2 linked regions of the Bombyx mori genome follow. Each later gene encodes a partner of the first gene's protein in a complex. Links are inferred from orthologs where the notes say so. Each region holds a gene or a part of one and is shown in the gene's direction. Other genes may lie near its edges.

The links.
Region 2: the proteins of geranylgeranyl transferase type-2 subunit beta (region 1) and synaptobrevin homolog YKT6 are in contact, whole or in part, in a crystal structure (PDB 6J7F), measured with the Homo sapiens proteins. The link is inferred for Bombyx mori from reciprocal best matches to the Homo sapiens genes RABGGTB and YKT6. Residues at the interface, in NP_004573.2 of Homo sapiens: Thr3, Pro4, Gln5, Lys6, Asp7, Ile9, Lys11, Tyr37, Leu45, Trp52, Leu236, Asp238, Cys240, Arg281, Gly283, Asp284, Met285, Asp287, Phe289, His290; in NP_006546.1 of Homo sapiens: Lys60, Gln62, Asp63, Leu65, Asn83, Glu84, Tyr85, Pro86, Ser87, Leu153, Asn155, Thr156, Glu158, Arg189, Lys190, Cys194, Cys195.

Annotation. Positions count from the first base shown.
Region 1 is NC_085123.1:2,128,457-2,133,020, forward strand, and holds the start of geranylgeranyl transferase type-2 subunit beta, read left to right. Parts: upstream 1-1,485; 5' UTR 1,486-1,648; coding exon 1,649-1,842; intron 1,843-2,041; coding exon 2,042-2,159; intron 2,160-2,253; coding exon 2,254-2,347; intron 2,348-2,926; coding exon 2,927-3,097; intron 3,098-4,564. UniProt on the Homo sapiens protein: Catalyzes the transfer of a geranylgeranyl moiety from geranylgeranyl diphosphate to both cysteines of Rab proteins with the C-terminal sequence -XXCC, -XCXC and -CCXX, such as RAB1A, RAB3A, RAB5A and RAB7A.
Region 2 is NC_085124.1:7,755,753-7,760,217, forward strand, and holds the start of synaptobrevin homolog YKT6, read left to right. Parts: upstream 1-1,431; 5' UTR 1,432-1,666; intron 1,667-1,773; 5' UTR 1,774-1,803; coding exon 1,804-2,400; 3' UTR 2,401-4,465. Other genes in the region: proteasome subunit beta type-2, read right to left, coding at 62-255, 458-563. UniProt on the Homo sapiens protein: Vesicular soluble NSF attachment protein receptor (v-SNARE) mediating vesicle docking and fusion to a specific acceptor cellular compartment. Functions in endoplasmic reticulum to Golgi transport; as part of a SNARE complex composed of GOSR1, GOSR2 and STX5.

The DNA of each region.
Region 1 (4,564 bases):
CGACGCGCTGAGAAGATCCGGCGAGAAACTCAACGGGCTGATGTTTAGGTTAGGTTGCACATCGAACTTTTTGTCGAATTCGACGAGTACGGTTATCGAGGTCCCTACTGTGTTAGAGCTAAAGGTGTCTAATGTAAAGGTTATTGGATCTGATAGATCCGTAGGGACGTGTCTAGGGCGTCGACGGTGACTGGCTCCTGCGTGATCAGGATTCGGTGTTTTTTATCTATGTAGTATCTGAAGTCGTCGTGGCCTAACGGATAAGACGTCCGGTGCATTCGTGTTGAGCGATGCACCGGTGTTCGAATCCCGCAGGCGGGTACCAAATTTTTCTAATGAAATACGTACTCAACAAATGTTTACGATTGATTTCCACGGTGAAGGAATAACATCGTGTAATAAAAATGAAACCCGCAAAACTATAATTTGCGTAATTACTGGTGATAGGACCTCTTGTGAGTCCGCGCGGATAGATACCACCACCCTGCCTATTTCTGCCGTGAAGCAGTAATGCGTTTCGGTTTGAAGGGTGGGGCAGCCGTTGTAACTATACTGAGACCCTTAGAACTTATATCTCAAGGTGGGTGGCGCATTTATGTTGTAGATGTCTATGGGCTCCAGTAACCACTTAACATCCGGTGGGCTGTGAGCTCGTCCACCCATCTAAGCAATAAAAAAAAAAAGGTGGGTGGCGCATTTACGTTATGGATGTCTATGGGCTCCAGTAACCACTTAACGCCAGGTGGGCTGTGAGGTCGTCCACCCATCTAAGCAATAAAAAAAAAAGTAGGTAATCGGTAATGACCTGTGTTGTGGCTCCTGGTTACGTACATTTTTGGTTGTTTGAATTTATATTTTTGAAGTAAGCCCCGATAGCCTGGCATAACTTTGGCTTTGTATGACAATAGTTATATTCATTAACCATTATCCAGTAACCATTTTCGTCTAGCATCATCAAGTGGTTTATGTGGTGTAGGCGAGTATAGTTCTCCCTATTTCGTAATTCTCCTTATGTTCTTCAGCTGTAATACCCGCAAAAGGCAAATCCCACCCCTCTTGGCTGAGCCTTTGCTCGCCCACCTGTTCTGGAGAAACTGGAAAGGCCTTAGGGCCACCAGTAATCTTTCAATCATAAAAAAATACCCGCAAAAAAAACCTTCCCCGTTCCCCCTTTCCCTACTCCCCGTCCCGAACCAGCCGATGCGTTAAATCGCTAGCTAAAGTGCTACTATGCCACTAGCGTTATCCGGCGATCGCCCCGAGCTAAAAGCTCTTCAGTACTATTAATTGAATTTGTCAAATTACTACAACTCGACCATTATAACAGACCCGGCTTGCAATTTATTGTATATGTTGCCCGGCCCCAAAAGATTTAGCGGTTGATTCTACCATAAGGTAGAACTCTGAGTGACTAAATATTTTATTTTCCCACAATTTCCAAACGTTAAAACTTTAATAACATAATGTCACAATGACATAAAATCCCTCTGTCACTTTTGACATCTAACTTTAAATGCTGACTGATAACTCATAACGCCATAAACCTAAGAGATAGATAGATAGACTGATAACTCAAAATATTATCATCCCGTTTCAAAACATTGTAGCTTTTAATTTAATGTACATTGCAATAGAATAAAAATTTAAAATGTCTTTTACAACGAAAGATGTTGTCTTAAAAGAAGATCGACCTAAAACTTTACTCTTACAAAAGCACTCCGACTATTTAGCCAGTTACGGCTTAAATAAAGATGACTACGAGTATTGTATGACCGAATATCTAAGAATGTCCGGTATTTACTGGAGTTTAACTGCTATGGAACTCATGGGACAATCATCAAGGTATCAAAAGTATTTATATTATGATTTTTACCCGTTATTAACCTCAATCAATCATATTATTATATCAACCTTAAATCAACATAAACCTTGTAAAATTTGAACAATGAACATGGTTAAAAATTAATTCTTGTATAAAAATAAAGTGAAAGTCGCCTTTGAGAGTCCTACAAGCGTTGTAAAACCTGGAATTTTGTTCCAGGATGCCTAAAGAAGATATAATAGAATTCATTACACAATGCCAAGATAGTGAAAGTGGAGGTATCTCGGCTAGCATCGGACATGATCCACACATACTATACACATTAAGTGCTGTACAGGTAGAACATGAAACAACCAGAAAATCATTTTAAAATTTGAATAAAGTTACGTAATATTTTTATTTTGTTTGTCATTACTTTTATTTGTTAACAGGTACTGGCGATGTATGATAGATTAGATGCTGTTGATATTGAAGGAATTGTCAGATACATAGTTTCCTTACAGCAAGAAGATGGTAGTTTTTATGGTAAATATTATTATCTTCACTTGCTTCTCATAAATAAATCAGAATATAATCTAAAATTTGTTGACTATTCATATCATACTACATTAAAATGAATGAATATTTGTCATAAAATACAAACATTACTATTTACTTTTTTTTAAAGAAAACATTAATTTACTTAATAAATCCAAAGAGCATTTGGTTATAGTATATTAAATTAAAACAACAATATTCTTTGCAATGTGTTGCGAAACATTATATTCCTAATTAAAAAATATTTTTACATTTTAATCTAATCATTTGTTATTTTCATTATTAAGCTGTTATTCATGGACATTTAAATAATGTGCTAAATTTCAACTTATATAATAATTGCATATTGATATTTACATGTACTTTCAAACAGAAAGACATAAGTACACTTTTCTGTAAAATATTTGAAAAGTCGGAATATAAATAATCCCAGTATACTATTTAAACTTTAATGTTAAATTAAAGTCTAAAAAGAAGGTTAATTATGTCTATGAGTCATGAAAACAGTAGAGAATGCTAGATTAAATACCTACCCAAATTATTCAAATTATTTTATGTTGCTTAAAGGAGACAAATGGGGTGAAATAGACACTAGGTTCTCTTTCTGTGCGGTAATGTGTCTATCACTCTTACAACGATTGGATGCCATCGACATCAACAAGACTGTGGAGTTTGTGCTCAGTTGCATGAACTTTGATGGTGGATTCGGTTCCAAACCTGGATCGGAAAGCCATGCTGGTAAGTAATTTCGGATTATTTATTTGGTACATTTTGAGAAATAATTTTAGTTCTGAAATTAAATTCATATCTTTCTCAATATCTAATATATAAAATTCTCGTGTCACAGTTTTCGTTGCCATACTCCTCCGAAACGGCTTGACCGATTTTGATGAAATTTTTTGTGCTTATCCGGTATCTATGAGAATCAGCCAACATCTATTTTTCATCCCCCTAAATGTTAGGGGTAGTCCACCCCTAAATATTTTTTTTATTTTTTATTCAAAATTTTTAATTTCTATTTTTTTATGATACAACATACAAAAATACATACAATCCTCAATTTTCACCCTTCTACGATCAACCCTAATTTTTTATTTGCTAATTAAAAACTTTAAATTTTTTTGCGAGAATTTTGTTTTTATTTTGTCATGACGTAGAATAATAAAATTCATATTACTCTGAAATTTTCACCCCTCTACGATCAACCCCTATTTTTTATCTGTTAACTTTAATTTTTTTGGCAAGATTTTCATTTTTATTTTTATTTTGTCATGAATTAAAATAAAAAATCTGATGTTACTCTCAATTTTTCATCCCTCTATGATCAACCCCTTTTTTTATTTGTTAATTATAAACTTTAATTTTTTTGTCAAGTTTTTTATTTTGTTTTGTCATTACTTAAAATAAAAAAAAATCATATTACTGTCAATTTTCACTCTTATACAATCAACCCCTATTTTTCCATCCCGATTAATTTTTTTTTTATTCTATGCACAGATCTGCAATAAGTTTGCAAGATGGCAATCAAATATTATAATTGTAGTACGATAAATTCTTATTCAGAGTTTATAATTTCAAGTTCTTCAATTATGATTTTTTTTAAATTCAATTTGATCTCCCGCCCTCGCCGGTCGACTACTGATCAACTATCAATCGATCAGCTATCCCCGCCAGGTGTCACCACTCATCCAGCAAACATCACGTAGTAGGGATGAGGACGAAGCCGGTCTCCTGTCTTACTTACTCACTATACATCATAGATTTATACACTTAATATATTTAAGAGCTATATACACAATACTATACATTTTTCAGCCGTGTTTTTTTGGTTTTATTTGTGTATCAATAGTATGTTCAGTAGATCTGAGAATCGGCTACTATCTATTTTTCATACCCCTAAGTGAAAAGGGTTGTCCACCCCAAACATTTACTTTTTATTTTAATTTTTTGGATTTTTTTTTTGTTTATAATGAGGTATTATGTGGTTAAATGAGGTTTTTTTTCTACAGTAGAATTTCTCTAGAAATCTTATTTAAGGCAACACAACGTTTGCCGGGTCAGCTAGTTATTAATAAAATTCTGTAGACTAGCCATCTTAATATAAAACAAGATATTTAAAAAATGCTTGAATGTATTTTACAAGCTCCAAACAAATTTTGGACGTCCGGTCTAGCAAATTTTTTACCTGTAAAATTTATGGTAATT
Region 2 (4,465 bases), on another chromosome or scaffold:
GCTCTCCGAAAAATAATAACTGTCATGAATCAATCATAATAGAAATAAAAACACAACTTACACTGCTCCTAAGATACTCTGCGAGATTACGACGTGTGAAACTGGCTGCAGCTGAGGGCCCCAATTCATACCCATTACGCATTTTATACAACTGAATATTTTTTGCAATATATTCAGCAAATTGATTTGTGTCTCCTGAGTCACCAATGACACCCATTACTAATCTATCAGATATCTTATAGATCTTTTCTTCATCTGTAAAATAGAATAAAAACTTTGATTATATAGTATAGTTTATTTGAAAAATTGGTATTAGAAGTTAGATTCCATTAGTACAAATAAAATGCCAAAAAGCAACCTAACAAGTTTACTTGAACCGTTTTTAGATCTGTTTTTATTTATAAAACTAATTTGATCTGAAAATACAGAGGATTCTGTTACAAATTTGCAAACTCACCGTCTTTCATGATCATAATGCTGTGGCTGTTGCTCTGATCGGCTGCTATCATAACAAAGTCGTTGCACTGTATTCCTAAGAGACATTGTAAGTTTATATTTGACATTTTGCAGTCGTATTACTTAATTAGCTTTCACTGCAAATAGTCTTTTCAAGATAGAGATACTTCAATCAATTGAACTGAATTATTTACTTAATTAACTTAGCTATTCTGCCTGTGCGGCCTTAAATTTCATAAATTGTCAAATCACTTTCAGTGTTGTCAGTGTTGAGAGTGTTGCGTGCATACCTTGGTATTGGTAGTAATTCATGGTTTCGGTTTTTTGGAGAAAAGTTGGAGCTATATTTCGTTTACCTATGTGATAGGAATTAATAAGTAGTTAAAATACAAAAAAGAAAGTGCACTAATGTGGGAAAATGAAACAAAGCTGCTGGACGTCACTTCTCGGGATCCTCCAAAAAGTCTCAGTAGATGACCACCATTTTATTAAGATTATATTTCATCCCATATCATCTCATCTCATTTCATTTGATTTCATACCAGTTGATTAATGTCTCGAATTAATAATCTTCATTTCATTTCATCATTTTTCATATAAATAAGAAAATAAATTAAAATAAAACATGACTTAAAGGTCTCTGGCGTTAATGAACGCACATTTTTATGATGCGTAAGCCGGAACGCACGAGATGTGGGAAAAAGAATATAGTCTGTGACACGGGACCTTTTTACCGCCAAATATTTAAAACGACAAATAATTTATAATGTGTTTAATAACTAATGTAATATAATTACTTAGAATTGTTTATGCCGCTACAACAATAAAATTTATATTGTTTCAACTGTGGTGTTAATTACATAAAACACGACTACGGCGAAATAAAGAAGGGACTCTATATGAGCTCCCTTAGGTCTTAGTTACCAGGTCATAAAATCCCTTAAAAAAATTCTTAATAATCTGTGAAAGAGATATTCTCATGACGTAGGCATTAAGACATTTATGACAAATAACCAAGGCCAAATAGTAAAAAATCACTTTTTACGATTTCACGAAGAAAAATTATCTTACAAATGTATTAAAATAATTTTAAGACTTTTGTCTGATTTCGGGTAATCTAATATTGTAGCACGTCCAAGATTGTACAAACGTAAAATTCATTCAGAAGGCTCATTTACGACGAATTAAACGACGAGCTATTGAATCTTGGGTAATATATTTTTTCTTTTATTTTGAATTCTTCTAATATATTTCTTAAAATTCAGACTTTTCATTATTTTTGTAGTTTTTCTGTATTAAAACTGTTTTAATTTTCAGAGACCGAGCGATAAAAATTATCTAACAAAAATGGTGAAAGTTTATGCACTACTTGTATTGTACAAAGGGATTAATAATGCATCCATTCTGAAAGGTGCTTATGATCTTCGGAGTTTTAGTTATTTTCAAAGAAGTTCAGTGCAAGAATTTATGACTTTTGTTAGTAAAACTATGGTAGAGAGGACACATCCAGCATCAAGGCAATCAGTTAAGGAAGGAGAGTATATGTTGCAAGTGTATGTGCGTGCAGATAATTTAGCTGGAGTATTGATATCCGATCACGAGTATCCTAACAGAGTAGCACACACTTTGATCACTAAAACTCTTGATGAGTTTACAGCTGCAGTTCCATCAAGCACTTGGGCTACGGGTAAAGAATCAACAATTGATTTTCCATCATTGGCTTTACATTTAGAAAAATACCAAAATCCCAAAGAAGCTGATGCATTGACGAAAATTCAAAATGATCTGGATGAAACGAAAATTATTTTACATGATACAATAAAAGCTGTACTTGAGAGAGGTGAGAAGTTAGATGATTTGGTTGCTAAGTCAGACAGCCTGTCGATGCACAGTAAAGCATTTTATAAGACTGCGGCAAAAACTAACAGTTGTTGTAATTTTTGAACAGTATATTATTATGATTAACTGTTAACAAAAATGGCCATAACTATTGTAGTATTGTTGATAGTTGCTGAATGCTATGTACTATTTAAAAAAATTATATGAGGTTTGATATAGCTTTTAGGGATTATAAAATATAATTGTATCTCTGATTAATCTGTAACCTGTCACTAAGAGAGTGGCAACTAGCCACAAATACTAAAACCAATTTTAGCAAAGGCTTGAAGAATTATCCTGACCCATCGAATTAAAAGTTCAAACAAATATTGAATCATCATCTTTTCCTTAAGAAATTTCCTTTTATGTTTGTCTGGAAGTTTGTTTCCTAAAATTTAAAAATTTTAGAGGGATAATTTATTTTATTACCTCTTGAGATTACGTTTGTGTTGTAAATTATGATTGTAACTCTAAATCATACAATTATGGCTAAGAGCCAAGAAAAAAAAAAATTAGTTGAAGACTTTTGGGTTTGTTAGAATTGGAGAGCAACATAATTATTAACATTACAACATTATTATTTATATTATTGAGTAATTTAAGAGCAGTGAGTTTAATGTTTAAACTACAAATGGGTCATCATGTCATACTAATTAAAATTGATTATTCCAAAGTAGTATAGTATATCATGAAAATAACTCTAAGGTACCAAGTGTACATATGTTGTAACTTGTTATTCTGTTGCAGATTACTGTAGTATACTTGAATTCTTAACTAATTAAATTTTTGGTCTTAATTGCAATTGTTAAACAAGTCCAGATGCAGACATTTTGAATTATTTTCATCATCACAATGAATGTCGACTTACAGTATTGGTCTAAGGTCTAATAAATGGGTTAAGGATCGTGTGATTTCATTGCAATAATGTACAAAAAACCATGCACAAAACATTTGCAATAACAGCTTAGAAAAGAAAGATTGTGAAAGTGACTTATTTCATGGTTTTTACTAAAATTTAAATGTGAGCTTTATTTAAGTGATAAATGGTTAAATAGGAATAGAAGTTTAACAATTCAGAGAAAAATGTTATAATTATGAATTATGAAGTCTTCTTATTGCATTCCTCAAAAATGATGTTGTTAAAAAATAAATATATCTATGTATGAAAAAATTATTAATGGTAATGTATAGGCCAGTTATTAAAGAAAAATTTGATCAAATGCTGCAGTTTATCAAATTCGATTATATTATACAAGTTGAAGTAGTTTGCAAAATTGATCTGAACTGTTGGGATGATGTAACAATATTCCGATAATAGCTAGCCATTAGGAGAAAATTGCCATTCAAGAGTTGAATTCGTGACATTAATTTTAACAGGCAAGAATGATCTGTTCTGCTCTTAATTAAGAAATTCGTTATCAGCAGGCTTGTTTATAGGCATATTATTTATTATGTGCAAATATAAAGACATTGCACTGAGAATGTTTAATATTTTGAAAATATTCAATTCTTCAATTGCATCACAACTGCTAAACAAGTTTGATCTAGTGAGTCTGTGACACTATTCATTCAGTCACAACCAAAGTTCATTCATAACCCTTGCAGAGGTGTCGGTCATAATCACACGTTTAGGATTACACATGGTGGATGCATTACATACAGTGCCTGAAACAAATTCTGTATAATGCAATGGGATAAAATCGTGATGATCATGTTTGCTTCCATTGCCATCTTTATAGCAATATATAGATATTGTCAAAGGCATGGGAGCCTGTTTGTAGCTAGCATTTGGTATTAAAATAATAGTAAAGAACAGGAACAAATGTAACTATAGTATCATATTTACCATCTATAAACAATTGAAAATCATTTAGTATTGGCGTCAGTTGCCTGAATGGCAACATGAAGACGTGATATTTTTGTGCTCATACTCATGAATCTTTTATATTGCTTTTTCGTTAACATGTTGAACGCCACATGAAAAATCGACTATTTTCATTCAGGCCATGATGCTCACCGGTGAGCCTTTTACTGGTGATAGCACGTCTTGTGAGTCTGCACTGGTATGTACCATCGTCCTGCCTATATCTTCCACCCATCTAAGCAATAAAAAAAAGCCTTATCGTAGTGA